2 linked regions of the Anolis sagrei genome follow. Each later gene encodes a partner of the first gene's protein in a complex. Links are inferred from orthologs where the notes say so. Each region holds a gene or a part of one and is shown on either strand. Other genes may lie near its edges.

The links.
Region 2: the proteins of ABCC8 (region 1) and KCNJ11 are in contact, whole or in part, in a cryo-EM structure (PDB 7S60), measured with the Homo sapiens proteins. The link is inferred for Anolis sagrei from reciprocal best matches to the Homo sapiens genes ABCC8 and KCNJ11. Residues at the interface, in NP_000343.2 of Homo sapiens: Phe5, Ser12, Ala13, Tyr15, Arg16, Val17, Val21, Asn24, Cys26, Phe27, Ala30, Val33, Val34, Val37, Phe41, Phe44, Ile46, Phe48, Ile49, Gly50, Trp51, Gly52, Ser53, Ser55, Lys57, Val58, His59, Ile60, His61, His62; in NP_000516.3 of Homo sapiens: Val44, Ala45, His46, Lys47, Asn48, Ile49, Arg50, Gln52, Gly53, Leu56, Val59, Thr62, Leu63, Lys67, His70, Leu73, Ile74, Met77, Cys81, Leu84, Leu85, Met88, Trp91, Leu92, Phe95, Ala96, His97, Gly98, Leu100, Ala101.

The regions. Positions count from the first base shown.
Region 1 is NC_090021.1:248,043,454-248,059,195, reverse strand, and holds the start of ABCC8 (ATP-binding cassette sub-family C member 8), read right to left. Parts: upstream 8,640-15,742; 5' UTR 8,026-8,639; coding exon 7,809-8,025; intron 3,600-7,808; coding exon 3,458-3,599; intron 2,577-3,457; coding exon 2,455-2,576; intron 1-2,454. UniProt on the Homo sapiens protein: Regulator subunit of pancreatic ATP-sensitive potassium channel (KATP), playing a major role in the regulation of insulin release.
Region 2 is NC_090021.1:248,143,010-248,159,554, reverse strand, and holds KCNJ11 (ATP-sensitive inward rectifier potassium channel 11), read right to left. Parts: upstream 8,811-16,545; 5' UTR 8,724-8,810; coding exon 7,536-8,723; 3' UTR 4,829-7,535; downstream 1-4,828. Other genes in the region: ABCC8 (ATP-binding cassette sub-family C member 8), read right to left, coding at 13,072-13,209, 14,553-14,615, 14,743-14,876, 15,603-15,706, 16,111-16,219. UniProt on the Homo sapiens protein: Inward rectifier potassium channel that forms the pore of ATP-sensitive potassium channels (KATP), regulating potassium permeability as a function of cytoplasmic ATP and ADP concentrations in many different cells.

The sequences.
Region 1 (15,742 bases):
AAAGAAGCTGTCCTGACCCTAAACCAGTGTCTGTCATCAGTAATGAACTGGATGAGGGCAAACAAATTGATATTTAATTCAGACAAGACAGATGTGCTCCTAGTCAGTCAGAATGCAGATCAGGGTATAGTGATCCAGCCTGTGCTGGATGGGGTCACACTCCCTCTGATGACACAGGTTCACAGTTAGGGGGTCTTCCTGGACTCAGCATTGAACCTGGGGACTCAGGTATCAGCAGTGGCCAGGAGGGCCTTTGCACAATTAAAACTTGTATGCCAATTGTGCCCATTCCTTGAGAAGCCAGATGTGGTCACGGTGGTACATGCCTCAGTTATATTCCATCTGGATTACTGTAACATGCTTTACATGGGGATGCCTCTGAAGAGTGCTCGGAAACTTCAGCTGGTTCAAAGAGCTGCAGCCAGGTTGCTAACTGGGGCTGGCTACAAGGAGCGGACAACTCCCATGTTGCAGCAGCTCCACTGGCTGCCAGTCTGTTTCTATGCACAATTCAAAGTGCTGATTATGACTTTTAAAGCCCTAGATGGTTCAGGCCCAGGTTGTTTGGCTGACTCCACCCCCTTGAGATCTTCAGGAGAAGCTCTTCTTTCAGTCCCTTCTTTATCCCAAGCATGATTGGTGGGAACGAGTGAGCGGTCCTTTTCAGTGGCTGCCCCTTGACTCTGGAACTCCCTGTCCAGGGAAGCCAGAATGCCCCCCTCCCTGCTGTCCTTTCGGCGGCAGATTAAAATCTTTTTATTTAGACAGGCTGTTGAAGATGAAGATTTTAAACATCAATTCAGGGGGTGCTGTGGTTTTTAGCTTTGATTTTGTTTGAATGGTTTTTAATTGGGATTTAAAAAATACTTTTTATATTTAATCCTGTTTTAATGTTTGTATATTTGTATATTGTAAATGGTTACGCTGATGCATTTATGTTAAGCCGCTTTGAGTTCTCTTTGGGGGAGATAAAGCGGGGTATAAAAAATATAATAGTAATAGTCTGGAAAGTGGCAAAGAGAGAGAGAGAGAAAGAGAGAGAGATTAGATCTATTCATGAGTGGCCTACCTGGTACAACATCCATTTTTTGCACAAGGCAAAGGCTTTTTGGGTCCTCATACCTAATTTTGCATCTTTTAAAGATGATTTTACTATATTTCAATGTTTGATATATTGGTACCATTCACCTCTACTTTGGCAGAATTTGACTATCTTATCAGTGTTAGACCTACAAGATTGTTTGCAGCTCCCTGGATGCCATACAGTAATTTAATGTTGCATTTACCATGCCAATGTTTAATTTAAATTTAGAATGTTGACTCTATTCTTTGCATGTTATTTATGCTGCTACTTTGTTTTTGACTATTTTCATCACTTGGAGCAGGGACAGGGACACTTCAGATATTAAGGCACTGCAATTTCCACAATTTCCTTCATTTATCGTGCTGGCTTGGTGTAACAGAGTAGCAAAGGAAGCCAGCAGTAAAGGAGAGCTGTGGAAGATGACAAAAATGCCAAGGAATAGAACAATGTGATAAGGAACCGCTAGGAACATAGGAGAAATATATGATGAGAGAGTGGGGTTGGGGAAAAAAATGAATGGCAAATGTAGTGGGGAGGAAGTAACGAGATGGATGGAATGGAGGAATCGGGAGATGTCTGGAATAGCAATTGATTTGTCGACAAAGAAGCAACATTAAATTGCTCTTTGAGTAGACCAGGTGTTGTTTATGGAGCATTCGCCATAGAACTGTTATCACTAGCATCACCTAGTAGTTATATTGAGGGACTGCTTATTTTTGCTAGAGCTGCTGAGGAATAAGTAGCTGTTTGTTTTTCCAAGACTTCCGCTGGAAGTTTTTTTAAAGATGCAAACTTTTCAAGTTTCCCTTCCCATGAATGAGGGCCAATCTGTGACACCTGGACTGATGAGTGTTACAGTGTAACATCTAGTGAACCATCTAGTGCTTTCTCTATTCCTGAACAAAATACTTTGAGAGCCTAACTCAGAACTGTGAATCATGGCGTGTCCCTGCTCTTTCCAGGGTCCTTTCACAGAACCATATAACTCAGAATATCAAGGTAGAAAATCCCACAATATCTGCTTTGACCTGGAATATCTGAATCCACACTGCCAAACATCCCAGTTCAAAGCAGATAATGTGTGATTTTATTCAGCTGTGTGGAAGGGGCCCAACACTGCAATTCCTGGCACTTCTCATCTTTGGTTGTTCTGGCTTGGGCTGCTGGTATTTGGAGTTCTACAACATCAGGTGGGCCAGATGATTCCCATCCTCTAGCAAGCAGTAAAATTTCAGACTACTAAACACATGGTAGTAATATGAAAGAACTCCATATTAGGAACTTCATAGTGAAATATTGTTAAGACCTATTCAATCTGAACCCAAGAGCAATATATTTTAATACATAGTCTTCAGGATTTCAGTACATACCTATTAATAATTTTGGGAAATTTGATGTTTCAATATTGTGATAATAGACAATTGATGTGATGGCTGCAAGGAATGCCATTCCAGGTGGCATGTAAAGGTGCAAATGACGGGAGTCAGAAAAACTAAGTAAAAGAGAACAAATATTAGTCACAAATACAATGTTTGAGAGTGCCATGTTTGTTTTTATGCTTACAAGAAGATATATATTCATCTGAAGAGAGATGCTGATCAACACACAAAGGAATGTGCATATGTTGACTTTCTCCAGGTGGAGGATCTAATTATATTTGTGTAGCATCTGTCATTCTCTTCATTTCTCTCAAACACACCAGTTCCCATACCTGAGTTAGTACAGTGGATCTAATTGATCAATGGAAAGAAACCAAAAAACCAGTGAGTCCTTTTCAGTGACTATATACAGTCGCTTGCTCCTTTTCCATATTACAAATAACAGGATAAAGAATAAAACCTGAAGTAGTGTTTGTTATTCCAGATCTATTTAAGCACTAAAAGAAAACCAGCTGGTAATTGTTATAATTTTAAGAACACCGGAACATCATTTGAAGTCTACAGGTTATTTTATATTGGTTGAAAATTATTAGAAATTCAAAATGCATATATTTAAGGACTCTGTAACACATTTTGGGGAAGAAGCTAATATATTGTAAGTTTAGGTTGACTTTCAGCCATGTCATGTAGGAGCTTTTCTTCTCCTTCTGGGCCTTTACAGACATAGGAAACGCAGAGAAGGAAAAGCTCACAACACCCTTGGCAAACAAGTTAGAGCCAATTGGCTAACTAAAAATAAGCGAGAGCATCTGAGTATTTCTACATACACATTCTTGGCAAGTCATTTGGAATGTCTGACTCAAGGTCAGTAGGTTAATCATCACAAACACATTGCATTTTTAACAAGTAAAGGAAAGTATACTCAACAACTTGCTAATGTCGGTATTACAAACTCAGATGATGTTAGAGAGAGTTGATCGATGTATATACTTACCCATCTGACACTATGCCCTCTGCTATTTCACACACCAACACAAATAAAAGGATGAAGGTTAAAATCCATCGTAAATTATGTCCAGGAAAATGAAGCCATGTGCTGTGATGGATATGAACTTTGGAGCTTTGACTTCCCCATCCTAAATGTAACAAAACAAATAACCACAGTTATCTTGCAGTATTGGTGCAGACAATGCAAAAACCATTCCTGTCTATTCTGAACTGAAACAAAAATATTGGGGTTTTTATTTTGTCTTATGAAACAGGAACAAAGAAAGGCAGTGGTGATAAATACATTGTTAGAAAGCAATTTTGGCAGTGATACTATAAAACACCATCGTATTAAGAGGTACGTGACACAGGATCAAACATTCTGAATATTTAGGCTTTAAGATAATACGTATTAAATCAGAGATAGGACATTCTGAATACTTTGACCCAATATAGTTTTGATATCTACATGGCTGACAAACAGTATTCCAGTGAATATGGAAGGAGCACGTTTCCACTCAAACTGCATCCCATATTCCTTTCAATTTGTATGCATTAGAATGTTAGTTTATAATATGCAAGGGCATGTTCAAATTAAAGTCCACAGCGGAGGCCAGAAATGGAAATAGAAACAGTTTGGGATAATTCAAATTAGATTTTGTTATCATGCCCACGGGGATTGTCATTGCTACTGTAATTTGAAAGAGCTAGTTTATAGAATAAGTTTTATGTTTATATTGGAAAGTGCATATTATACTTTTAAAAGTTATATATTATTTGATGTCATGGCCTATGGCTAGTATAATAAAAACTCATCACTTTATTGATACTAAATCATAAATTTAGCAGGGTAATCTTGGTTACTTTATTTTACTGAGTTTTAGTGTTGGCTGCTGGTTTTCATGTCAGTGGGAATTCCCAAAGTTGGTTAAGACTACCGTTCAGACTAAAACCAAAAGCAGTTTCACCACCCCATTGACAGAAATGAACAGCTACCAATTTATGATGCTAAATTGTGTGGTAGAGGAATTATATATACCCCAAACCTGAAGCAAATATTGATTTTAATGAAATGGTATTCCTGCCTTGAATTTTCTTCAGTTAAAATATAAGTGCTACGTAGAGTTGTTTAATAGTTTTATTATTTTTAACAATATATGTTTAATATTTCTATGTTTAATTCTATTGAATGTTTATATGTGTTAGGTTTTCATAGTATCCTAGATTTGGAAGCGAACACGTGAGCCATCCAGTCCAACCCCCTGACAAGAAGAAGGAAAATGACATTCAAAACGCCATCCAGCCTCTGTTGAAAAGCCTCCAAAGAAGGAGCCTTGACCACTCTTTGGGCAGAGAGTTCCACTGCTGAACAGCTCTTACAATTAGGAAGTTCTTCCTAATGTTCAGGTGGAATCTCCTTTCCTGTAATTTGAAGCAATTATTCTGTATCCTAGTCTCCAGGGAACAAGATTTTAATTCAAAGATTGTTATGGTTTTTAATTTTAGCCACTTAAGTTTCCTTTGGCAAAGGAAAAGCAGGGTATTAAGACTACTACTACTACTACTACTACTACTAACAACAACAACAACAACAACAACACACTTTTTTCGTATCAGGGGTGACTTGAGAAACTACAAATAACTTCTGGTGTGAGAAAATTGGCCATCTGCAAGGACGTTGCCCAGGGGATGCCAGGATGTTTTGATGTTTTACCATCCTTGTGGGAGTCTTCTCTCATGTCCCCACATGGGGAGCTGGAGCGCTCTCCTCGGATTTGAACCTGCGACCTGTCAGACTTCAGCCGGCGCAGGGGTTTAACCGACTGCGCCACTAACAACACACTTAGATATATAGACAGAATTTTATATCCCCAAATAATATATGTGACAGGAATAGCCCTGGCTAAGGTGTGAGAGAGCCATACCTATTCACCCTGTGTCTTGTGTGTCCCAAAGTAGAACAGGGATGTTTTTATAAGGTAAAAACTAATTATTGCAGACAGAAAATGGAACAAGGAAATACAGTTAATACATATTTACAGCTATTTGAAAGCAAGATATAGGAAGAGATGGTGGGAGTAACTATGGTAATATCACACATTATTAGTCATATCATGGACATATCTAGTTGATGGGTTGTGCAAATCCCACACATTTATCACAATATCAATGAAAGAAAAGGAACAAGTTCATATTATCTTAAGTGCTTCACATAGTCATATACAGTATTATGCCATGTCCTAAACTATCAAGTGATCATAATTATTAATAAACTTTCTTTGGTTCTAAGAAAAGTAATCCATTCCAAAGAGATGTGCTGAATTGATGCTTTATATATAGCCCTTCCAATGCTTTGCTATGAAAAGAGAAGCCTTGAGTAGTAATAAACAAATAAACACATTTCTGATATTATGGAATCTGTGGCCTAGAAGTCAGATGCAAACTATTTAATTTAGTCTTTTAATGGTTCACATATTCGATTGGGCAACCACTGTTACATATTAGTAGTGTAAAACATCAATAGAATAAATCAATAGAAAAAGTGCCTACATAGTGTGAGATCTCATTAGGTATTTAATGTGTTTTAATTTCAATGTTTATTTTAATTGTACATTGTGTCAAGGCATCAAATAATTGCCTATCTGTAAAGTCACCTTGAGTCCTCTTCGGGATTAAGAAGGACAGGATATAAATATGGTAAACAAACAAATAAATAAATAGGTATGGGAAGGCATATATTCAGTTGTTTTCCTTGCTTGAGAAAAACATTATATTTCCTTATTTACCATATCCACTCAAATAAGTCACCATAACCTTATGTGACTCCATTTCCTCTTATAAGAGGTATATATCCTTTTTATTTAACAAAATCTGACAGATGAGCTGTAACTATAATTTGGCTTTCTTTGAATAAATTTCTTTGTGATCCAGTTCAATGCAGCTTAAATTCCCATGTAAGGGCCTTTTAAAATAATGGAGAGAAGATGCCTTGATGCGTTTGGGCTGTGCAGGCTTTTATTTTGAGCATGCTCTCTCTCTCTCTCTCTCTCTCTCTCTCTCTCTCTCTCCTCCCTTTTGCCTGGGAGCTGCAGAAAAAAGCAGGTCAGCTTCCTTCAAGCAAGTGTGAATCTCTGTACTTTTCCTGAATGGCTGCAATGATGCTCAGAATGGAAATGGGGGGTTATTATCAAGACAACCATACAGCATTATTATTCCAAGTCAGAGAAACATTGAAATGTTAGCACATGACAAATGTAGACATGGAGAACAAAGCTGCCTACTTCCTTTGATTTAAATGACTTTGTTGTACCTTCATACAACTGAGAATTTATCATCCCCATTCATAATGTCCAAAGTGTGCATTTCCCCACCCTGGTTTGCTGTATGTGGGTCTTCAGAATTGTCCTTAGACATGAAGCACAGTATCAGCACCACTGGTCCTTTCCTTTGATGTGAATGCCTTTGTACCTTCTTAGAACTGAGAATTTATCATACCAATTTAACCCACTTCTAATCCCCATCATGAACATTTCTTCCTGATTTGGTGTGCATGAACCTTCACTTATTACTGACACAGGCACAGCACCTGGGACAAAGTGGAATGCCCCCCTTTCATTCCTGCCAAGGCTGGGAAGAGATGGCACCCAACTGGAAAGTCAGAGAAGGAAAGAGAGAGAGAGAGAAAGTGAAGGAGAGCGGGTGAAAGAGGTGTTTCAGATATGGGATTAGATTTTTAATGATTTCAATTGAATAGTTTCAAGGTTTAATCCTATTACAATATTTGCATGGGATTTTAGGTGTTAAATTAAAGAAGATTCCAGCTAAACACGAGGAAGTACTTCTTATGGGTGAGAGCTGTTCAGCAGTGGAACTCTCTGCCCCACAGTGTGGTGGAGGCGCCATCTTTGGAGGCTTTTAAACAGGCTGGATGGCCATCTGTTGAGGGTGATTTGAATGTGATTTTCCAGCTTCTTAGCAGGGGGTCTGACAGGATGGTCCACGAGGTCTCTTCCAACTGTTTTGAGAGATTATCACTCTCTTTTCAGAGAGATAAGCGGGATAGAAACACTAATAATAATAATAATAACAACAATGCTCTTATCATTTGGAGGAGCCCTCAGTGATGCAGCAGGTTAAACCACTGAGCTGCTGAATTTGGTGACTTAAAGAGAGAGAGAGAAGAGATGGAGGGAGAGATGGAGAAGGAGAGGGGCAGCGCGATGAGAGGAGGAAAGAAAGAGGTTGAAGCTGCCTGCGGTGCCTCTGCCTAGGCTTTTGGGGGCGCTCCTGGTGGAGCAGAAGCCCTCCTCCTCCTCGTCGTCCTCCTGCCCCCGCCCGTCCTCCCCAGGCTGACCTACCTATGAAGAGGATGGGGAAGGTGATGAAGAGGAGGAAGACGTGAGGCACCACGTTGAGCGCGTCCACGAAGCAGCCGTTGTTGAGCACCCCGTCGTCCACCTTGTAGGCGGACGAGTTGTTCTCGGTGCCACAGAAAGCCAAGGTCATGGTGGGAGACTGAGGAGCACGGCGCGGAGGGGAAGAGGAGGAGAGGAGGAGAGGGAGGAGGCCGGGCATGCAATGCACCGGGAGAGAGGGAGGCGGTGTGTGTGGGGGTGTGTGTGTGCGCGCGCGGGTCTGCCCTGGGGGCGCGTGCCTGTGACCGTCCCCAGCTGCACCTGAGGACCTTTCCTGGCTTTCCCTCCCTCCCTCCCCGCAATCAGGAGCCCCCTCTGGGCGCGCGAGGCTGGGGGGAAGAGCGCGCGCTGCGAGTGGGTGGGTGGGCGACTGGATGGATGGACGGACAAAAGACTCTTCGCGAGACAGAGTGTGCGCGCGCACGCGCCGGCGGAGAGAGAGATGCCTTTGGCGGAGGAGGCGGGGAGGGGAGAGATGCTGAGGGAAAAGGCGGCAAAAAGCCTCGCCTCCCGAAAGGACAGGGCACCTCTGCTTCTTCCAGCAGCGGAGAGGGAATGAGAAAGGGGGAAGAAGAGGAGCCCCCCTCTCTGCCTCGTTTTTGCTGGAGCTCTGCTCCTCCCACCTCCTCTTGCCCCCGGGGTCAAACCTGAAGGGCCGCCTCGTGCGTGGGAAAGCCCTGGGCGCCCTTGGGTCTGCCGACTGCCGTGCCTCTTTTCATCTACTGCTTTCTGAGGCCACGGGAAGAAATGGCCTTCATCTATAGCCCGAAAAACCTCCAACCCAATCTCCTCCTCCTCCTTCCTCCTCTCCTCCTCCTCTTCCCTTGCCTGAGACCCATTAAAACCCTAGCTTCGCTTAAGAGGAAGGCGTGGGAAACCGCCACTCCCGAGGTGACCTTTCTCGAGTGCGCAAATGGGCTGAAGCGGAGCACAGGGCCGCCCAAAGCCGCCCTTCTCCTTCCCAAACTAACAAAATGAAGTTCAACAAGGACAAATGCAAGATACTCTACTTAGGTAGAAAAAAATGAAATGCAAAGATACAGAATGGGGGGCGCATGGCTCGAGAGCACTACCTGTGAAAAATATATTGGGGTCCTCGTGGACAAGTTAAACATGAGCCAACAATGTCATGCGGCAACCAAAAAAGCCAATGGGATTTTGGCCTGCATCAATAGAAGTCTAGTGTCTAGATCCAGAGAAGTCATGTTACCCTCTATTCCGCTTTGGTTAGACCACACCTGGAATACTTTGTCCAATTCTGGGCACCACAGTTGAAGGGAGATGTTGACAAGCTGTAATGTGTCCAGAGGAGAGCTACTAAAATGATCAAGGGTCTGGAGAACAAGCCCTATGAGGAGCGGCTTCAGGACATTTTTAGCCTGAAGAAGAGAAGGTTGAGAGAAGACATGATAGCCATGCATAAATATGTGAGGGGAAGTCATGGGGGGGGGGGGGGGGGAGGAAGCTTGTTTTCTTCTGCCCTGGAGACTAGAAAGTGGAGCAATGGCTTCAAACCAGAAGAAAGGAGATTCCATCTGAACATTAGGAAGAACCTCCTGACTGTGAGAGCTGTTCAGCAGTGGAACTCTCTGCCCCAGAGTATGGTAGAGGCTCTTTCTTTGGAGGCTTTTAAACAGAGGCTGGATGGCCATCTGTTGGGGTTGCTTTGACTGCAATGTTCCTGCTTCTTGGCAGGGGGTTGGACTGGATGGTCCACGAGGTCTCTTCCAACTCTATGATTCTAAGAAGAGCGGCTGCTGCTTCAGAGTTTTGCAGCTCCGCACAATGGACTTTTCACTCGTGTTTAAGGAGGAAAGGGGGGGCTTTGCACTTTTGGGGAGCTTTGGCACATTCATTTGGATTCTTCCTCTGAGTGGATGTGCTACATTGTCAGAAAGCCAAATGAAAAAGCATTCTCCCATATCCATTGCATAATACATGCATGGGCAAACTTCGGCCCTCCAGGTGTTTTGGACTTCAACTCCCACCATTCCTAACAGCCAAAATTGAAGTCCAAAACACCTGGAGGGCCGAAGTTTGCCCATGCCTGGTATAGTAAGGTGGGCCAAAGGACCAGCCCTGCTCACCTTACCAATACAATGAGAATACTATTGTAACCCACTTTGGTGTTGGACAGCTTGAGTGTGTGGTTGGAGTCGACAAGTGAGGGTCTGAGTGGTTTGAACTATTGTTGTATTTGAATGTTAGACTCTATATGTGGGTTGTTGTAGGTTTTTTGGGCTGTATGGCCAAGTTCTATAAGTATTCTCTCCTTTCGGGCCATATAGCCCAAAAAACCTGCAACAACCCAGTGACTTTGGCAATGAAAGCCTTCGACATGGCTAGTGGGTTTCCCTCTAGCCATGAAAACTAACGGGCAAGTCACACAAGCCTCAGGGGAAGGCACTGGCATCCCTCCCCCCAAACAAATCTTGGCAAAAGTCTTGGACTCCTCACCCCCTGATGTCCATATCTCAGTAAAATCAACCAAGTTGTGAGCCTTTCTATATAAGTCTGCTTTTGGGGAAAGCTGGAACTCTAATCACAATTACAGAGGGCAAGCCACTTCCCTGTTATGTCAGCTCACTGGCTGCCTGTCTGCTACTGAGCACAATTCAAAGTGCTGGTTTTAGCTTATAAAGCCCTAAACAGTTCTGGCCCAACTTACCTGTCTAAACGTAGCTCCCTTTATGAACCAACTCATAGGTTAAGATTGTTTGGGGAGGCCCTGCTCTTGGTCCTACCTCCTTCGCAGGTATAGTTGGTGGGGATGAGGGACAGGGCCTTCTCAGTGGTGGCCCCTCAGCTGTGGAGCTCCCTCCCCAGTGAAATCAGATCAGCTCCCTCCCTCCTGACCTTCAGAAAGCAAGTTAAAACATGGCTCTGGGACCTAGCCTTTGGTCAATAGTGCCGTGAAATAAGATGGGAAATGTGCAATCACAACTAGAACAGCTTTTTAAAAAAACCCATGATCTCGGATTGCATGGTTTTAATAATGTTTTTAATTTTTATATAGCTCTCAAATTTATGTTTTAGTCTGTGTGTTTATTTTATATTTGTTGCTGATATGACATCAAATTGTTGCCTTTGTAAGGCCACTCTGAGTCCCCTTTGGGACTTCGGGACTTCTCACCTTTGGGGTGAGAAGAGCAGGATACAAATACTGTAAAAAAATAAATAAGTAAATAAATAAAGGGTTCTGGCTGATATGGAATGCTAAGCATGGAAAAGCCGATGCCGCTGTTCCTTGCTGCTAGCTCCCATGTTCAGCACATAGGCATTCAGAGATGGGGCCAGATGACATGCAACAGCAGCGGTGGGATCAACTGTGTTGTCTTTTCAATATGAGAAGTATTTCATTCCAGAGGGATCTGTCCCATAGTAGAACATGGGAAGGAGCTACAGAGGTAATGGAATATTGATATATGCACCTGCACATCTCAGCAGACTGGTTAAGGAAAAATAACATCCCTGGGTTCAGTTCCAATCTGCAATCAGCAGACACTGTGGGCACCATCCCAGCCTGGGAATTGGTCTCTGGGTTTTTTGGGTAGACATTGGACAGCGAAGCAGGTTTATTTTAATCCATCTCTAAACTGCATTATAGTGTCTGTGTAGAAGCATTCTATCTGTGGGATGTTCTTAATCAGTTTCAGAACGTTGAACTATTTGCAAGGACAGAATGGAATTACTTTGATTACAAATTTAATAACAGTGCTCTTGTAAAAGGGCTGGATTTCTGATAACAATGTGATGACACAGGGGTTAGTGGATTTTTTTTTGTAGAACCATGTTTAGAAGTATATTTATGAAACAGATGCTATAGTTGTTGCCAAATTATGTGTGACAGCCTATAGTCTCTGGGCTGTTTCTCGTCTGTGCTGTCATTAGAAGGAAGTGTGAACAAATGCAGTCACAATGTGCCCAGATGGAGAGAGACACCTAGAGTGATTATACATAATGAGTCAGAAACATTGAACTATTTGTACCTTTACCCCAAATTATGGAAAGGAGAAGCAAAGAATTTGCCTAAATTTTGTATAGGTTCAAGATATGCACAGTTACCAATATGTAACATATTGCTTCTAGATGCAACTGGACAAGGACTACGTTGACGAACAATGCAATTTCACTTCTCAAATGTTCTTGTGTAATTCAGTTGAGCTAGAATTTGTAGTGCTAACACACCAATCACTTTCTTATATAAACTGGCATTACGTAAGGGTTGTGAAAGATCATTTTGTCTTGCTTTAGGCACAGTGACTTTTGTGTAATTTTTGCTGTTCTTAATAGCACAATGGGAAAAGTACAAACTATTACTTCATTAGCCTTCAAGAGGAAGAGGTGGAGTGGGTTCTTTTCAAATGTGCCTGGTATTTTCAAAAGTCATGAGGTGTATCTGTGGAGGAATGGTTGTGTGTATGTCTTAAATGCCATCACACTGATACTAGATTCCCTTAAGAAATCAGACACAAAAGTTACAGCAACTTCATGATCCAGATCCTGTTTCCTATACCAGCTAAGCAATTTAATTATCTGGTGAATTCTGTCTAATCCTTTGTATTTTATCTGTACCTGGGAAAATGCACTTCCATCCTTTCAGCAAACTAGTAATGGGAAATTCTAATTATTTTCAAATAGCAGTACCATCCAACTCTTTGGAGACAGCCAGCATAGTATTGTGGTTTGAGTGTAGGGCTGTTGGAGGCATGGTTTCAACAAACTGGGTGACAATTGGCAGTTCACATTCCTTCAGCCTTAGCAGATGCTAATGGCAAGCTACTTCTGAATAAAACTTGCCAAGAAAACCATGTAACAGGGTTGCCATAAGTTGGACTAGTATGCTAATGTTTTATGTTAAGCTGCTTTGAGTCCCCTTTGGGAGAGATAAAGTGGGGTATAAATAAATATAATAATAATAATAATAATTATACTCTAACTGGTTTTTGAAGTCAGTATAGTTCTTGTTCAGTTCTTCCTTGTCTCCTGTGCTATGCTAAGAATATAATATAATGTAATATATTGTATAGACATATAATATTTATAATATTATAATGTAATACAATGTACTACTACTAATAATATGATATTATAATTATATATTTTATATTACATGTAATAATAATAATAATAATAATACAATATAATGGTATAGTACAATATAGTAATATATAATATTGCTATTGTACTATGCTAATAATATAATGTAATATATTGTGTGTGATATATATGAGAAGGGCGGCATATAAATGTCATAAATAAATAAATAAATAGTTCTAAAAATGTGGCATATTGTTTAAAAGAAAGGACGAAGGACTTCTTGTCCGCTATGACAACCATGGGGCTGTCCCAAATTATATCTTGACCCACACATTTAGCTGGACACAGATTGGACCTAGTGTTTAATGCAGGTATGGAGGAGAGGGCCGGTGTGTCTTATGTCTGTTATAACAGGCTGAGTTTTTAAATTTAATTTTAGTTGTTAAGTCATAATCCATGTTTATATGTTGGGTTGTTTAAATTTTGTTAGTATGGATGTATTGTTGTTGTATTCGGGCATTGAATGTTTGCCTTTTATGTTTGGAAAATCTGCCCTGAATCCATCTGGGGAGATAGAGCAGAATATAAATAAATAAATAAATAAATATTATTAGTAGTATTATTAGTATTGTTTTATATTATTATTTAATTCGCAGTTTATGTTTTATACTCGTTTAACATAATTGTTCTTTTATTGTTTACTTATTTTTAATTTAAATTATATAACAACTAGCTGTGCCCTGCCACGCGTTGCTGTGGCCTATAGTAAAACTTATCAAAGTTGAGGTAGATATCTGGACTATTATGAAAGAGAGGTACCTACCTATTCCTTCCCCCTTTTCCTCCCCCCTTCTCTCCTTTCTTCCTTCTCTACCTCTTTCTTTCTTTCCTTCTTTCACTACTTGGTTTCATCCTTCTCTCTTTCCTTCATTCCCTCCCCCTTTCTTCCTTTGCCTTTCTCCCCTCCCTGTTTGCTTCCTTCTTTCACTTTTTATTTCCTTTTATTTTACCACCATCATAACCATAACAATAATGCAATGCATTGCCTCTGGGACCTGACACCTCTCCCATTCCTCCAGGGTCTAATAGGAATAATAGCATAATAATAATAATAATAATAATAATAATAATAATAATAATAACAGAAATAACAACCTTTACCCGCCACGTGTTGCTGTGGCCAACCTTCCCTCTTTCCCTCCCTCCCTCCCTCCCTCCCTCCCTCCCTCCCTCTTTCCTTCCCTCCCTCCCTCCCTCCCTCCCATCTTTCCTTCTCCTCTTCCTTCTCTATCTCTTTCCTTCCTTCCCCCTTTTTCTTTCTCTTTTTGTCTCTTTTCTTCCTTCTCTCTTTCCTTCCTTCCTTCCCTCCCTCTTTCTCTACATCTTCCCCCTTCCTTCACTCCCTCTTTCCTTCCTTAGAATCATAGAATCATAGAATCAAAGAGTTGGAAGAGACCTCATGGGCCATCCAGTCCAACCCCCTGCCAAGAAGCAGGAATATTGCATTCAAATCACCCCTGACAGAAGGCCATCCAGCCTCTGCTTAAAAGCTTCCAAAGAAGGAGCCTCCACCACACTCCGGGGCAGAGAGTTCCACTGCTGAACGGCTCTCACAGTCAGGAAGTTCTTCCTCATGTTCAGATGGAATCTCCTCTCTTGTAGTTTGAAGCCATTGCTCCGCGTCCTAGTCTCCAAGGAAGCAGAAAACAAGCTTGCTCCCTCCTCCCTGTGGCTTCCTCTCACATATTTATACATGGCTATCATATCTCCTCTCAGCCTTCTCTTCTTCAGGCTAAACATGCCCAGCTCCTTAAGCCGCTCCTCATAGGGTTTGTTCTCCAGACCCTTGATCATTTTAGTCGCCCTCCTCTGGACACATTCCAGCTTGTCAATATCTCTCTTGAATTGTGGTGCCCAGAATTGGACACAATATTCCAGATGTGGTCTTACCAAAGCAGAATAGAGGGGTAGCATTACTTCCTTAGATCTAGACACTATGCTCCTATTGATGCAGGCCAAAATCCCATTGGCTTTTTTTGCCGCCACATCACATTGTTGGCTCATGTTTAACTTGTTGTCCACGAGGACTCCAAGATCTTTTTCACACGTACTGCTCTCGAGCCAGGCGTCCCCCATTCTGTATCTTTGCATTTCATTTTTTCTGCCAAAGTGGAGTATCTTGCATTTGTCACTGTTGAACTTCATTTTGTTAGTTTTGGCCCATCTCTAATCTGTCAAGATCGTTTTGAATTCTGCTCCTGTCCTCTGGACTATTGGCTATCCCTCCCAATTTGGTGTTGTCTGCAAACTTGATGATCATGCCTTCTAGCCCTTCATCTAAGTCATTAATAAATATGTTGAACAGGACCGGGCCCAGGACGGAACCCTGCGGCACTCCACTCGTCACTTCTTTCCAAGATGAAGAGGAAGCATTAGTGAGCACTCTCTGTGTTCGTCCACTTAACCAATTACAGATCCACCTCACCGTAGTTTTGCCTAGCCCACATTGGACTAGTTTCCTTGCCAGAAGGTCATAGGGGACCTTGTCGAAGGCCTTACTGAAATCCAGGTACGCTACATCCACGGCATTCCCCGCATCTACCCAGCTTGTAGCTCTATCGAAGAAAGAGATCAGATTAGCCTGGCATGACTTGTTTTTGATAAATCCATGTTGACTATTAGCGATGACTGCATTTGTTTCTGTTTGCAGACCGCTTCCTTAACAATCTTTTCCAGAATCTTGCCCGGTATCGACGTGAGGCTGACCGGACGGTAGTTGTTTGGGTCATCCTTTTTTCCCTTCTTGAAGATTGGGACCACATTGGCCCTCCTCCAAT
Region 2 (16,545 bases), about 99 kb from region 1:
AACATGTTGTCAAACTATATTGGTCATACAATGTAGAATTCACCTGACGCATAGAAGAGGAAACTTCCATTTAGCTACATGTTGTTGTTGTGGTTCATTCGTTCAGTCGTCTCTGACTCTTTGTGACCTCATGGACCAGCCCACTCCAGAGCTCCCTGTCGGCCATCACCACCCCCAGCTCCTTCAGAGTCAAGCCAGTCACTTCAAGGATACCACCCATCCACCTTGCCCTCGGTCGGCCCCTCTTCCTTTTTCCTTCCATTTCCCCCAGCATCATTGTCTTTTCTAAGCTTTCCTGTCTTCTCATTATGTGGCCAAATTATTTCATCTTTACCTTTAATATCCTTTCCTCCAGTGATCAGTTGGGCTTTATTTCCTGAAGTATGGACTGGTTGGATCTTCTGGCGGTCCAAGGCACTCTCAGAACTTTCCTCCAACACCACAGTTCAAAAGCATCTATCTTCCTTCGCTCAGCCTTCCTTATGGTCCAGCTCTCACATCCGTAGGTGACTATGGGGAATACCATGGCTTTGACTATGCAGATCTTTGTTGCCAGTGTGATGTCTCTACTCTTCACTATTTTATCAAGATTCGTCATTGCTCTCCTCCCAAGAAGCAAGCATCTTCTGATTTCCTGGCTGCAGACTGCGTCTGCAGTAATCTTTCCACCTAGAAATACAAAGGCTGTCACGGCCTCCACGTTTTCTCCCTCTATTTGTCAGTTATCAATCAGTCTGATTGTACATAGGAAGTACAAAATTTTGAAAGAATTTAAGTTACAGGAACATTTGGGTTGACGCCTCCTCAAAATTGTTTATCAAGAGGGCGAAGGGCTTTTTCTTGTTGCAGTTATCGACTGGTAGCCCCAGATTTCCTGAAATAAATCAGGATTTGGACTAGCTGCTCCTGAAGGGTTTTGCTCCAGCTCTTACAATTGTTCAGTTCCTAACCAAGAGCTAATCCATGGGCTATCAACACTCCCGTTCACAGACGTTTAGTGTTTTTGGTTGGGTTCGCATAGCCATTTATACAGTAAACCTGTAATGTTTAGGGAAAGTCTGTTCAAATGGATTGGACTGATGTGATTAATGAGCTCTGAGGCAAGTAAAGCCACCTGCTGTTGATGCCATTTGAGCTTTGATTCAGCAGCTGTCAAAGACTAACTGTAAGAGTAGCAATGGGAACTCTCCTGGAAACATTTCAGTTGATCCTTCTGTTGGGTTGTTTTTTTGCTTGTGATCAGGGGAAGGTAGTGAAATGAGGACTGGGCTTTTCAGTATTTGGAAAATAGATGCGATTAGAAATTTGATAAATAACTGGGCTTATTCCTTTTAGTTACATCTCTATATACAGTTACCAGTTTCCCAACAAAAAAGAGGAAATAATTTTGAATAAATTTGTGCATATAGAGGTTAAGCTTATTAGGATCGTAATAGCGAAATGTCAGGAGTGCTGTCTTTGCTTTAGATTAAATAAAAAGAAAATTAAATGGCAAATTCATTTTTTTTCAAACAATAACAAATCAAATGGGTATTGAAATATGGGATCATGTCATTCCCCACCTTTTCAAAAAATGTTCAGAGAAAAATTAAATATAGGTGAGAAGCAAATATGATGTTGTTTTTATTATATGTCTTTTCTTTTCACACCTGTCATTTGGTAGGCCCAGAGTGGAGATCACATGGCTCTCCAGATGTTGCTGACTTTGACTTCAAGTAGTCCAAGGGCCGGAGCTCCCAATGGTGCAGTGGGTTAAACCGATGAGTTGCTGAACTTGCTAACCAAAAAGTCACAGGTTCGAATACGGGGAGCAGTGTATTTGAACCTCCAGCTTCTGCCAACCTAGCAGTTTAAAAACATGCAAAAACAATGTGAGTAGATCAATAGGTACTGCTCCAGTGGGAAGGTAACAGTGCTCCATGCAGTCATGCCGGAAGTGTCCACGGCAGTGGTTCTCAACCTGTGGGTCCCCAGGTGTTTTGGCCTACAATTCTCAGAAATCCCAGCCAGTTTACCAGCTGTTAGGATTTCTGGGAGTTGAAGGCCAAAACCATCTGGGGACCATAGATTGAGAACCACTGCCATGGACACTTCCGCATGACTGCATGGAAGTGTCCACGGACAATACTGGTTCTCTGGCTTGGAAATGGAGATGTGCACCAACCCCCAGAGTCAGACACAACTGGACTTAATGTCTGGGGAAAACCTTTACCGACCAGTCTAAGGGCCCTTCCACACAGCCATATAACCCAGAATATCTACACTGCCAAATATTCCAGTTTAAAGCAGATAATGTGGGATTTTATTTAGCTGTCTGTAAGGGGCCTAAGACAATAGTGAGTAATGATGGGACAGGCTATCAAACATCACCACAAGGGTCACAGAACTTTCCTGATGTGAGTACACACAAGTTGGTATATTAAAACAATAATATAGGTAGCACTGTATTCTGACAACAACCATATATCACAAGCAACATATATTTTCTTGTGCATCTGAAGAAATATGAGCATAATAGTACAATCTAGTGTGTGTCCACTCAGAAGATCTACTGAATTTAATGGCTCTTGTTCTCAGTTAAGTGAGTACAAGATAGTAGTCTATCAGGTTATTTTTAATGAACAGTCCTCAAATCCATTAGAGATCAATTACCTGATTTCATTAGGATAAACACAAAGTTTTTACATTTACAAACTTCTAACAGAAGACAACATTTTCTGTGCTCTGAAAATATATAAAACCATTTGCAGCTTAACAAAGAACATGCACTTGAGTTTCAGACTGGTCTGGCTCCATAAATAATTTAGAGCAGTGGTTCCCAACTTTTTTTGAACAGAGACCACTTTGACGAGGGACCACTCCCCAACATTAGTACCAAAAGGGTTACGAATCTGTTTCTGGTCAACTTTAGATTCAGTTTGGTTATTTGGGGTGCTGATTCATAAAATTGCATTGGGTAGACCACATCAGCTCTAGTTTATGATACGTAACATATGCATCCAGTAGTCGCCATCTGCTCGCCCACAGACAAACCCGTATTTAATAATCTAGAGCTGATGTGGTAGTAGTAATCTTTTGTGGGTAGTTAGCCTCATCCCTCCTGACATCCCTGTTGCCTTGACACTATAAGAGGGTTTTGCGAAACCAGTTATCCTGGTTTTGAGGCAACAATGTAGCAATGGTGAGGCCGCAGACCATATTTTCATTGTTGTGGACCACTGGTTGGGAATCACTGATTTAGAGGTTTTTGTAAGCCCAAGTGCTCTGATTTAGGGCCCTTCCACCAGCCATATAATCTAGAATATCAAGGCAGAAAATCCTATAATATCTGCTTTGAACTGGGTTATCTCAGTCCACACTGCTATATATTCCAGTTCAAAGCAGATAATGGGATTTTATTCAGCTGTGTGGAAGGGGCCTTAGGGAGTATCTATTCTATAGAATTACTGCGCTTGACAACACTTCAACTGTAATCGTAGGGTTTGTAGCTTTGTGAGGCACCAGGACTTTTTGGCAGGCATGGTCATACTACAACTCTCATGATTTGGTAGTGTTGAGCCATCACAGTTGAAGTGATGTCAAACTGCATTAATTCTACAACAGAGATGCACCCTTGGTTTCTGAATTGCGGGCTTGGAGATGAAGCAACCAGTAAGGACACCATTCAAAAATCATTCTGGTAAGAAGGCAGAATAAGGCACCTTTGAAAGTGAAAACAATTCATTTTCATTTGAAATTAACAATTTCATATGACAATTTTACAGTTTAACAATTATTGAAAGAGGCAAGATGTAAAGACTGATAGGACTGTATAGGAAATTAAAGAGCCCTTGCACCCCTGGTAGAAAAATGCACAGAAAATTGCAAACAAATTGGATAGGTAAGATATCAAAAATTATCCTTCATTGCATTACATGCCATGATCTTCATCCAAGGCATTAATGTTGCACTATTGACTTTTAATAAATACAGCTTTAAATAAAAAAAATTGTGGATTGCCACAATATAAATTAAACTCTTTCACTCTTATGCCATGCCACAGACTATTTCTGTTTCATATTGTGCAAAGGGTGCAGAACATATTGCCTTATTGGTGTGCCTACCTCATCTTTATTCATGTAACAAAGATTTTAAGAAGCATGCAAATGTATTAAAACATACACATGCTCATTTTAAACATGCATTAAGACTTTAATTCCATAATTGCAAGTCATATCCTTATATTGTTTGCCTTAATATAGTTACATACCTTTTTGCCTAATGCATGCCTGGTTTCTATAGTGATATATTAAATAATTAAGTTCATCTCACTTTGATTACATCTACTGGGTTAAATTAATTCATTTCTAAGGGTGTTTCTATGCTGTAGAATTAATGTATGACTTACTACTTTATCACACTAGAGAATAAATCCACTTCAAATCTGGCTTCTGCCTCCTGCAGAATGCTGAGGTTTGTAGTTTAGTGAGGTTGTTGAAGGCTCCTCCCTAAAATATAAACCTCAGAATTCTGCAGGAGGGTGCAACCGGATTTAAAGTGGATTCATTCTCTAGTGTGATGAGGTAGTTACATTGCCATGACTTAAAGGTATGGAATCACAGGAGTTGTAGTTTTACAAGTTATTTAGTCTTCTCTTCCAAATAGGTGCAGTGCATCACCAAACTACAACCCTCATGATTCCATAGCATTAATCCTGTGCAGTTAAATGGCATCACACTGCATTAATTATATAGTGTAGATCAGGCATGGGAAAACTTGGGCCGTCCAGGTGTTTTGGACTTCAACTCCCACTATTCCTAACAGCCTCAGGTCCCTTCCTTTTCCCCCTCAGCCGCTTAGCGGCTGAGGGGGAAAAAGGAAGGGACCTGAGGCTGTTAGGAATGGTGGGAGTTGAAGTCCAAAACACCTGGACGGCCCAAGTTTGTTCAAGCCTGGTGTAGATGCACCCTAAGTCTGAGTACTGAACCAGATGTGGCAATCAAAGCAGTTCAATTATGTGGAAAGAGAAGTTCCACAGTAGATTCCTTGTTATCACCAGTTATTTCTGTTGCATTGCAAGGCAGGATAAATAGCTCTCCCATCCCGGAGGCTGTCCTATTATAACCTTTGTGATAACCCTTTGAGGTAGGTTAGGTTGAGAGGATGTGATGGGCCCCAGGTCTCCCAATGCATGGGATTGGCTGCTGGTGTCTCCGGTCTTAATCCAACACCCTGTCCAGGGCAGCTACCACCCTCTTATGTTGACTATCAAACTAAAAAGCATGACTGCAACTTGACAGATGAGGTCATGTGACAGCCAGGCAAAATGTCAGGAGCTTGTTGTTTATTTCCCTTCTGGCTCCTTGCTTGTAAGTATTGTTGGATTCAAAGGCTATGTATGGGGAGTGTAATTACACTGGTTAGGTATTATTGTTATGTATCATTTACATTTTTTAAATTCCCATAATTGTACAGGGATTACATTTTCCATTTCAGAAGTTTGAAAAGTGACTTGGGGAATAAAAGGCAGCCCTATTATTTTTAAATAAAAAAACAATTGTCACCAAATGTAGTAGTTAAGTATGATGGACGAAATGCTCCGGTCTTACATTTCTGTTATTGTGACAAGGCCAGAAATAATATGTCTCCAATTTTCATGGGAGGTGGCACTTGCTAGAAAATATTGTTGGACTAATGCTAGTTAGGTGTCATTGCTATGTATCCTTTACATCCCACTTACATCGAAGCATTCTCATGGATTAATTGTGAGGGGGGGGGGGTGTTGTTGAAGGCTTTCACGGCCAGAATCACTGGTTGCTGTGAATTTTCTGGGCTGTACGTCCCCGAAGCATTCTCTCCTGACGTTTCGCCCACATCTATGGTAGGTATCCTCAGAGGTTGTGAGGCAAGTAGGAATGCTGCAATTGGCTACCTTGATACCACCTTAATACCACCTTGATACTACCAGATATATGAATAAACCCCACTTGCCTACTTTCCAACAGACCCTTCAACCTCTGAGGATGCCTGCCATAGATATGGGCAAAATGTCAGGAGACAATGCTTGAGGAACATAGCCATACAGCCTGGAAAACCCACAGCAACCCGGTTTTGTGGAGGGGGGGGGGGTGTTCAAATGACATTTCCCATTTTAAAAGTGTGGAAAGAATCTTGGGGATCAAAGACAGGCCAAGTTTTAATAAATAAAGAATCAACACCCATTTTAATAGTTAAATGTGATGGATGTGAATGCTTCCATCTTGCATTTCAGTTATTATGAACAAGGCCAGAAACAATGTGTCTCCAAATCTCACTGGAGGTGGCCCTGTGAAAACACAACAAAGTTTAAAGTAGTGTTAGAGGAAGGACATGCAGAGGGTCATGGTGGCACAATATAAACCCGTTTTGAAACCTTGTGTCCTCAGGACTGCTGGCCAAAAGGTCGGAGGTTCGAATCCGGGGAGCAGGGTGAGCTCCCAGCTGTCAGTTACAGCTTTTCATGTGGGGACATGAGAGAAGTCTCCCACAGGATGGTAAAACACCCGGATGTGTCCTGGGCAACATCCTTGCAGATGGCCAATTCTCTCACACCAGAAGTGACTTGCAGTTTCTCAAGTCAACCCCCCCCCCCACAAAACCCCTGCCATCTCATATTTTGAGCTGCCTCCTTCTCCCAGTTCCTACAAAAAGCAAGAACTGGGAGACAACCGAACTAAATTACAAGATTCCTGTGTCCCACAAAACTCTATTGCCTCCTAACCTGCTTCCATTGAAAGAAGCTGTAACATTATTTATGCATTCACTTAAATGTGTGCATTTCTTAAGACATGAAGCATGGCAGCGTAAACAGGCACCCTTGTGTCTACAGTCTTTGTTGTCAGAAAAAATAATGACTGATTTCCTTCTTATTAAACCAACTGAGCTTCCTTCATCACCGGAAGCATAGAAGTTAAAAAAACAACACAACCAAACGTCAGGTCTGGTTTCTCCAAAGCTGAGGCAGAGATAACAGCATAGAATACATAGAAAATGTGTCCTCAACAAGAAGAAATAAATAAAGGGGCCATCTTTCAGTTTTGGATGGTTTCTCCACCTCAAGAGATTGTGCAAATAACCCTGCAAGTCAAAAAGGAAGGGATTCTGGATGCTCAGGTCGTTTTAGACGCCTGTCTTGCACAATAGGTACCTTACCTACCTGAATAACAGAAACAGAGGCAATCTCTGAACAGTGCCGGATTTACCATTGTGCTTAAGTATGGCCCCCAGTTGACCAGGGGGCCCATCTTCCTGCCCCAAAATCTTATGATGGATTTTTCTTATGTGATGCAATTCTAAATTTGAAGGTGTTCTATTTTGGAGCGATTCCAGACATAATGATAGTCTATGGGAGTATGCCACAGAGCAGGCAATGGAGGCCTACCGGTTCAACCTTCTTCAGAGCCCAAGTCAGGGGCCTCATAACTAGTGCAGAGCCCCACTTGTTCTAAATCCGGCACTTTCTCTGAGCATGTTTACTGCGTCAGGTTCTAGAGCTCAACCAAGTAACAAAAGGGGCATCAGGAGGGTTCATCAGAGATGGTAAACTTGGGCTTCAACCTCACCGACTTCTTCCTGACAGTGGCCTTTGGGGACAAGACCACGGCCTTCATGATGCTGCTGTCTTCCTCCAGCTGCCTGGCAGTGCAGTTGGGCGTGGGCACCTTCACCGTGTTGCCAAACTTAGAGTAGTCCACAGAGTACTGCCCGTCCTCCTCGGTGACGATGGGCACGAAGCGGTGGCCCCAGAGGATCTCATCAGCCAAGTAGGAGGTACGGGCCTGGGTGGTGATGCCGGTGGTCTCCACCACCCCTTCCAAGATGACGATGACCTCCAGGTCCTCGTGGTGGTGGAGCTGGGCAGGGGCCACGTCGTAGAGGGGGCTGCTGGAGTCGATGGTGTGGCAGATGATGAGCGGGGAGACCAGGAAGATGCTGTTCCCACCCACGGGGTTCTCCAGCTGGATGTCCACCTGGTTGAGGGGCACCACCTCGCCCTCGGGGCTGGTGGTCTTGCGCACCACCTGCATGCGGATGGAGGCGCTGATGATCATGCTCTTGCGCAGGTCGCCCACCCGCAGCATGAAGCAGAGCCGCCCCCCACGCACAGCCACCACTGCGTGTTTGCTGAAGATCAGGGTCTCGGCCCGCCGGTGGGCCTGGGCCGTCTTCATGAAGATGCAGCCCAGCATGATGGCGTTGATGATCAGGCCCGAGATGTTCTGCACGATGAGGACCAGGATGGCGGCGGGACACTCCTCCGTGGCCATGCGGCCCCCGAAGCCGATGGTCACCTGCACCTCGATGGAGAAGAGGAAGGCGGAGGTGAAGGAGTGCAGCTGGGTCACGCAGGGCACGAAGCCGTCCCCAGGGTCGCCTCCCCCTCCCGTGCTGGTGCTGTGGTCCAGGTCCCCGTGGGCGAAGGCCAGGAGCCACCAGATCATGGCGAAGAGCAGCCAGCTGCACAGGAAGGAGAGGGTGAAGATGAGCAGCGTGTGCGACCACTTGAGGTCCACCAGGGTGGTGAAGACGTCCTGCAGGAAGCGGCCCTGCTCGCGGATGTTCTTGTGGGCCACGTTACACGACCCGTTCTTGCCCACGAAGCGGGCCCGCCGCTCCCGAGCCCGGTAGCGGGCATGCTCCGGCACCGCCTCCACCAGCCGGGTCAGCACGTACTCCTCCGGGAGGATGCCCTTCCTGGACAGCATGGCCGCGCACCCACGCGGACCCGCAGCCCCGGCCGCCCACGCACACCCAGCGCCAGGCCGGCCAAGGAGGGGAAGCCGCCAGGCGGGTCCGCGCCACCCCGCCCGCCCGCCCGCCTGCCTCTCCCCTCGCCCCTTTCCTCCTCTTCCTCCTCCTGCCCAGCTGCCCACGCCAATCGCCTCTGCGCCGGCCTGGGGCTGACCCACGCGAGGAGGAGGAGGAGGAGGAGGAGGAGAGCGGTCAGCGGGGGCGGCTCGGCACCTAGGCGCGCATTGGGCCGGGCGCCGCAGCGCTGCTTCGAGGTGTCGGCAGGGGGCGCTGTGGCGCAAGGGAAGCCCCCACAGCACAGCGGACGCGCCAGGTGGAGGAGGAGGAGGAGGAGGAGGAGGAGGAGAGCTCTCTCTTTTTCGCTCTCTCGCTCCCGCTCTCTCTCTCGCACTCTTGCACGCTCTCTCGCGCTCTCTCTGTCATTTTCTCTCTCTCTCTTGCGCGCTCTCGCTTGCTCTCTCTCTCTCTCATGCGGGCGCGCTCTCTCGTGCGCGCTCGTTCTGTCTCTTGCGCCCCCGCTCTCGTTCTCTCGCGCTCTCTCTCTCGCGCTCTCTCTCTCTCTCTCGCGTTCTCTCTTGCGCTCTCTCTCCCCCCCCGCCCCCCTTCTGATGTTCAGCCCAAATGTGCCCTCCTGTGACTTCAATCCACTCAGCCTTGTCCTGCCTTCTGGCCTGAAAGTAGTAGTATTATTATATGGAGCAGAAAGGATGGGAGAACCTGCCATAAGCTTGACTTACTATTAATATTAGTATTATTGTTGTTGACTAGATAGCCTTTGGAGGTCCCTTCCAACTGTTTGAGTTTAATTATAATAATAATTTATAATAATAATGTGTAATAATAGAATAATAATTCTATCTTCCTGCCTGGGAGAAAGAAAGGGGCTGGACTAGATGGCCTTTGGGGGTTCCTTCCAACTGAGTTTTATACAGTAGAGTCTTGCTTATCCAACAAAAATGGGCCAGCAGAACATTGGATAAGTGAAAATGTTGGATAATAAGGAGGGATTAAGGAAAAACTTATTATATCAAATTAAATATCAAATTACATTATAATTTTACAAATTAAGCACCAAAACATGTTTTACAAAAAATCGACAGAAAAAGCAGTTCAATACATGGCAATGTTATGTAGTCATTACTGTATTTACGAATTTAGCATCAAAACATAGCAATGTATTGAAAAAGCTGTGGATTCAGGTGGGAGGCAAACTGCATTGGATAATACAGAATGTTGGATGAGCAAAGGTTGGATAAGCGAGACTCTACTGTAATAATAATAATATATAATAATAGTCTCCTGGAATGACTGCAGGAGCAATAAATCCCTTCCAGTATTTTCTGTTGGATGTGGGTGTTCTGTGTGCCAAGTTTGATAGCAAAATTACAATTATGAATTAGCAACGAAAATAATTTTAGTGTTGGGGGTCACCACAACATCAGGAACTGTATTTAGGGGTCATGGCATTAGAAAGGTTGAGAACTTCTCCAAAGAATGGTATCAAATAATGTGCAGATATAGTTCTAGTCTCCAATGGCTACTTGCCTTATCTCATATTGCTGGAGGAAAAGGGGCTGGAAGGGTGTCCAAAGAGTACCTCAAGAAATGAACAGGGTGGTACTGGCACAGCTGGTACTTCAGGTACCAGAACCTTGAGCTTTCAAGATCAGCATGGGCACTCGCTTGCCTCTGCAGCACCCAGAGCAGCAGTAACACAGGCTGTGGGTGATACCTTCAGTCGCTCGCAGTATGACTCCAAAAAAACTTGGCTCACCAGTAGTATTGTCATTGAATCTGCTTGAATAAATAAATGCATGTCTTCTGGGCTGTAATAGTTGTTAAGCTCACTGGTTAGTAGTAGATAACATCTTATGCAGAACACTTAGGCCAATCTTCAAAGGAGCTGTCTATGGTGCTGAATCTATAATGTGAGATGGTTGTGTATCTCCAAATTATTTCTGATCTATGGTGACCCTAATACAATGGGGGGGGGGGGGGAAGCAATATTTGTTCAGAGGAATTTTGCCTTTGCCTTCTCCTGAGGCTGAGAGTGTGTGACTTGCTCATGACTGAGTCCAAGGCTCAAAGCACAACACTGTGCTGTATTGGCCTACTCCTTTAAAGACTAGATTAAAAGTGCCCCACTTACATGAGCCAGACCTGATGGGATATGGATTCTCCCATTGTTGCTCTGCCCAAAGTGGGGAGGGGGGGAATGATAATGTGCAGGCAGCTATTGCTTTTGTTCAGCCATTTACATAGCTTCTCTTGATGTTTTAATTGGTGCATCCAAGCAATTTTTTTCATGTCAGGAATGCCCTGAGAAACTGCAAGTTGCTTCTGGTGTGAGAGAATTGGCCGTTTGCAAGGACACTGCCCAGGAGATGCCTGGATGTTTTACTATCCTTGTGGAAGGCTTCTTTCATGTTCCCACATGGGGAGCTGGAGCTGACAGAGGGAGCTCATCCATGCTTTCCTTAGATTCGAACCTTCAGTCTTCCGTCTTCAGTCAAGGGTTTAACCCATTGCACCACTGGTGGCTCTATCTGAGCAATTGGCCTTTGCTAGACCTGCTCTCTCTCTTGTCCTCCAGTCAGAACTTTACATGCAACCATTTTCTGGTTTGTGAGGCACTCTGTCTTACACAGGAGACCTCCTTTGTCAGTGCCTTGCCACCCAGAAAGAGTCCATACAGATGCAAATGCACCTTACCAACATAAAATATGAAAACTACATCAGTCTCTTCTTCTGTGGCACACAAACTACTTCCACTCCCTATTGCTTTGGCATAACAGTAGCAAATAATAGCTTTAATCATGTATAAAAATTTAAAAACACCAAAAAGCAATATTTTATATGGTAAAGAATCCTTTTGTATAGTGAAATACCTGGAAGCATTTTATGCGCCCAAGAGCAGATTTCTACAGTTATGTTCACTTTCATAAAAGCTCACATTAAGATCCATTTGTCTTTTATGAACTTGTATCCATGTGCCCAATATTTCTCTTATAATAGCTGTTTTAAATTCATTTATCTTTATTTTTTCTCTCTTGCCTTCACATTTTTGCTCTTTCTCACTTACACAAAATTGGCATATAATTCATCTTTATACAGACTGTTCCTCTTCCCTCTCTTTACATAAATGCTGTTCTGATTTGCTGTTCATGTGAATTGCAAACTTGCCCTGCACAACCTTTTAAAGGAAAGTCTTAGTAAGAAAAATGTGCACCAACATAAGCATACCAGAACAGAAATTGCAACCTTAGAAATATTCATGAACTGTATTTTCATGCATTTTGAAACTAGACTTGAGTAGAAAGTAGAAAACATTTTGCTGATTTAGAGCAGCAAAATGTTTGAAAATAGCTTCTATTGCAATTAGGTTTATCCACTGCACTTCTGTTATGAACTACTTTAAGCCCTGTGAAAGCATCCATGGTCTCAATGATGTGTGTGCATCAAAACCAAGGAAAATGATATGTCAAATTGTGGTAAAACTGTTTAGTTGAATGTTTGTTCTACCCTGCAGAGTAATCTATTTGGTATATTTTTGTTTTTAAATTCACAGGTTTCCAGAAGTATTTAATTGCAGAATTTTGAGGTATGATCTATACAGCTAAAAAGCATCAGCTATGACATACCACAGACTCAGTTATGAGATAAAATTGGAGTTGAATTTAGTATGACAGAGATGAAGGAAGAATGCAGCAGATTCCTAAAATCTCACACTCTTCCACAATCTGAACATTTAGGAATTACAAATATGGTTCCTTTATTTTGTATATGGTTCCTTTATTTCTTTTAATGTTTATGGACTACTGGATATGTAGTATATTTAACCAAATGGCAAATTATTTGAGTTATTTTTCAACTATTTATATGCTATTTATATACTCAGAGTTGAAAAGTAAACATTTAAAATGTATTTATTGCCATATATATTGCAGTAAATATATACTATATAAAACATTTTTCTTACTAAAATTTAGCATAGTAATTAGTTAATTTAGTGTTGTTTTAAGGCATTAGATATTTGCCTATGTGTAAAGCCACCTTGAGGCCCCTTGGGGTAATATAGGGTAAATAAATAAATAAACTAGTGAAGTAAATAATTTCTTATGATTAACTAGGAAATTTGCTTTAAAAGATTAATTGACAAACAGGCAAAACACATTTCATTTCTAATGAAGGAAGACACTAGGCCTTTTATTATTAAATAATCAATATTTTTATTTACAATTATTTTACATGATTAGAAAATGGATAATAAAATTGAAATGTCAAAGATTTAATTATTTGCATTTACTTGTCTGCTTGGACAAAAGAAGCAAAGACACTCCCTTCTTGCTCCAGCAAGACCTCTGGCTTGTCGTATTCCAGAATGACTCCTCTCTTCATTACAATCACCATATCTGCATTAAGAATAGTGTGTACTCGGTGCTGGAAAACAAAAGACATGGGAATAATTCTAGTTACTTATTAAATCATGTTTGACAGAAATACATTTAGGTAACTCTTGTTAATGTGCAACATCACCATAATGTAGATTATCATATAGATAAGATTATTCTAATCTGGTGAACAATCCTATTTCTCTGATTTTGTTCCATATGCTATATCTTCCCATTTATTTTGAGACACAATTGAAAGTGCATTGCCCCAGTATTGGCTTTAATCCTGTTAGGCAGCCACACATGCAAAACTTACATCAACACACTCACAACTGTTTTGTATTCATCATCCCTATGTAAGGGTTGTGAAAACCCCCCATCCTCCATTTACTGGGATTAATCCCCTGCTGGGATTAATGGGTCCACTCATCTGTTGATCATGAAGCATTTGGTCGATGGTCCCACTCCCTCCTTGCAGAACCTATCTTTGTCCAAGGGTGAATTGTAATAGGGACCTTAGTTCTGGCTGTTGCACTACAGGGAGAAGAAACATTAGCCAGCAATTTTTTGATTGACAAAGGAAGAGACTTTCAGTAATCAACAGTGGCTGCTTCCCAGGAAGTGGAGATTTGGGAGACTGAGATAGGAGCACCATAAGTAAAGGTAAAGATTTCCCCTGACATTAAGTCTAGTTGCGTCTGACTCTGCGAGGTGGTGCTCATCTCCATTTCTAAGCCAAAGAGTTGGCGTTGTCTGTAGACACCTCGAAGATCATGTGGACAGCATGACTGCATGGAGCGCCATTACCTTCCTGCAGCAATGGTACCTATTGATCTCACATTTGCATGTTTTCAAACTGCTAGGTTGGCAGAAGCTGGGCCTAACAAAGGGAGCTCACCCCGTTCCCCAAAGTTGAACCACCAGTCTTTCAGGCAGCAAGTTCAGCAGCTCAGTGGTTTAACCCACTGCACCACCAGGGCCATAACTAGGAGCACCTTAACTACAGCATTTTATATACAAATTTCCAACAGGATTCTGGTCATTTTTAAAGAGAAAGGTTCTCTCTTATCATGAGTTATCTGTGGCCAGTCATTATTTATCCCATATCTATTTTTTATATCTGTTGAAAATGGAAGGAATTTTTTGTTTTAATTAGATATTCTTTTAAAATCAAGAATAAAAGAAGAAAGGCTGTATTGTTGTTGTGTGCCTTCATGTCATTTTTTATTTCTGTCAGCCCTAAGGTGAACCTATCCAAGGGTTTTCTTTGCAAATTTGTTCAGAGGGTTTGTCATTGTTTTCCATCGAGGCTGAGAGAATGTGATTTGCCCGAAGTACTATTATGTTATAAATACATGGCTTCACAATAGCAAAAACCAAACCAAAACTTACAGCAATTGTCACCACAGTACGATCAGCAAATGCAGTCATTACAACTTTCTGAAGAATATTTTCCTAAATAGTAGGCAAAAAAATATTTTTATTAATTAACATATCATAATTACACATGGATGATAAATCTTCCAACTCAGGGGTTCCACAGTTTTATCCTTTGTAAACAATATTCAATCTACTGACTCACTGTTGCCATATCAATTGATGCTGTGGCTTCATCCATGATGAAGATACTTGTCTTCCGTACAAATGCTCTGGCTAAGCAGAACAGCTGTCTTTGTCCTTGGCTGAAATTCTCTCCTCCTTCGGTGATTGTAGCATCTAGTTAAAGCAAAATCATTTAGAAAATTAATGTATATATTCTTGATTATATCAATTTTCACTTCCCATTTTCTGTCATTGAAGAGGACTGTGGTGTGAGAGAACATGCTTGCTCCCATCCCATTCCTTTTCAGCCAACTAAGTATGCATCAGGTTACTGTGAGTTTTCCGGGCTGTATGGCCATGTTCCAGAAGCATTCCCTCCTGGTAGGCATCCTCAGAGGTTCTGAGGTCTATTGGAAACTAGGCAAGTGGAGTTTATCTATATGTGGAATGTGCAGGGTGGGAGAAAGAACTCTTGTCTGCTAGAGGCAAGCGTGAATGCTGCAATTGGCCACCTTGATTAGCATTGAATTGCCTTGCAGCTTCAAAGTCTGGCTGCTTCCTGCCTTGGGGAATCTTTGTTGGGAGGTGTTAGCTGGCCCTGATTGTTTCATGTCAGGATTTCCCCTATTGTTTGTTCCTCTTTATTTACTGTCCCAATTTTAGAGTTTTTAAAAATACTGGTATTTTTTGTTCATTTTCATAGTTCCCTCCTTTCTGTTGAAATTGTCCATATGCTTGTATATGTTTAGCTTTTCTATATTGCTCCATAATCAAAGTTCTCTAAATGAACTGTCCATTAAATGATACTGTTAACTCTCTGTAAAGTTGAATTACACAGCCTAAAATACAACAGGGTATGCTTTTAACATTGGGTATCTGTACAAATGAAGGATATATTACCTAAGCCTCCAGGTAAAGCTTTCACCACATGCTTCAGCTGTGCTATTTCCAAAGCTTCCCACAACATGCTGTCTGTACATTTCTTTTCTGGATCCAGGTTAAACCTAAGGGGTAAAAATATAGCCAAACATTATCAAAATGGTTAACTTTTTGTGAACTGCATGTGTCTGGTTGCAGTTTACAGTACAAGATCGAAACGTCTTTACAGACAGCCAATTCTCTCACAACAGAAGCAACTTGCAGTTTCTCAAGTCACTTCTGACATATTATTATTATTAGCTCCTTTTCAGTTAATTCTGATTTTTGGATCCAGAGAAGATTTAAATCAACTCCCAAATAAGAATTAATGGGAATTTTAGACTTTTCTTATAAATAATATTTCTTTTTTTCTGTTGGGAGAGATAGTGTGAAGTGATGATTTTGTGGCAACAATTTCTGTCCAAACTGTGAAACCAGGCCATAGAGACCAAACTAGGTTTCTTTCTAAGGTTGGCATGATAACACTTACCGGATTGTGCCGCTGAACAAAATAGGGTCTTGAAGAATAATTGACAGTCTGGATCTCAGTGTTTGTAAGGGAAGCTTGGCAATGTCTATGCCATCTATAATGATCCTTCCTGTTGTCATTTTAAAACAAAACATATAGTGATTACATTCTTCTGCATATGGCATATTTTTCTAATTAAATTACATTACACTGAATGTAAAGTATATTTCATAAGCAGAAAGTCAGAAAGGAATATGTTATTTCACACAGTGATTGAAAGTATTCTTTATTCCACTGCAACTGAATAAATAGATAAAACTAGAATATATAGTTAGCTATCCATACCTACAATTTGAACATATTAAAAAATTCCAAAAGGCAAACTTTTATTTTGTCATTTGATATAAGGAATACAATGTTACAATGCAATTGTATATGACAGAACCCGAGCATCCA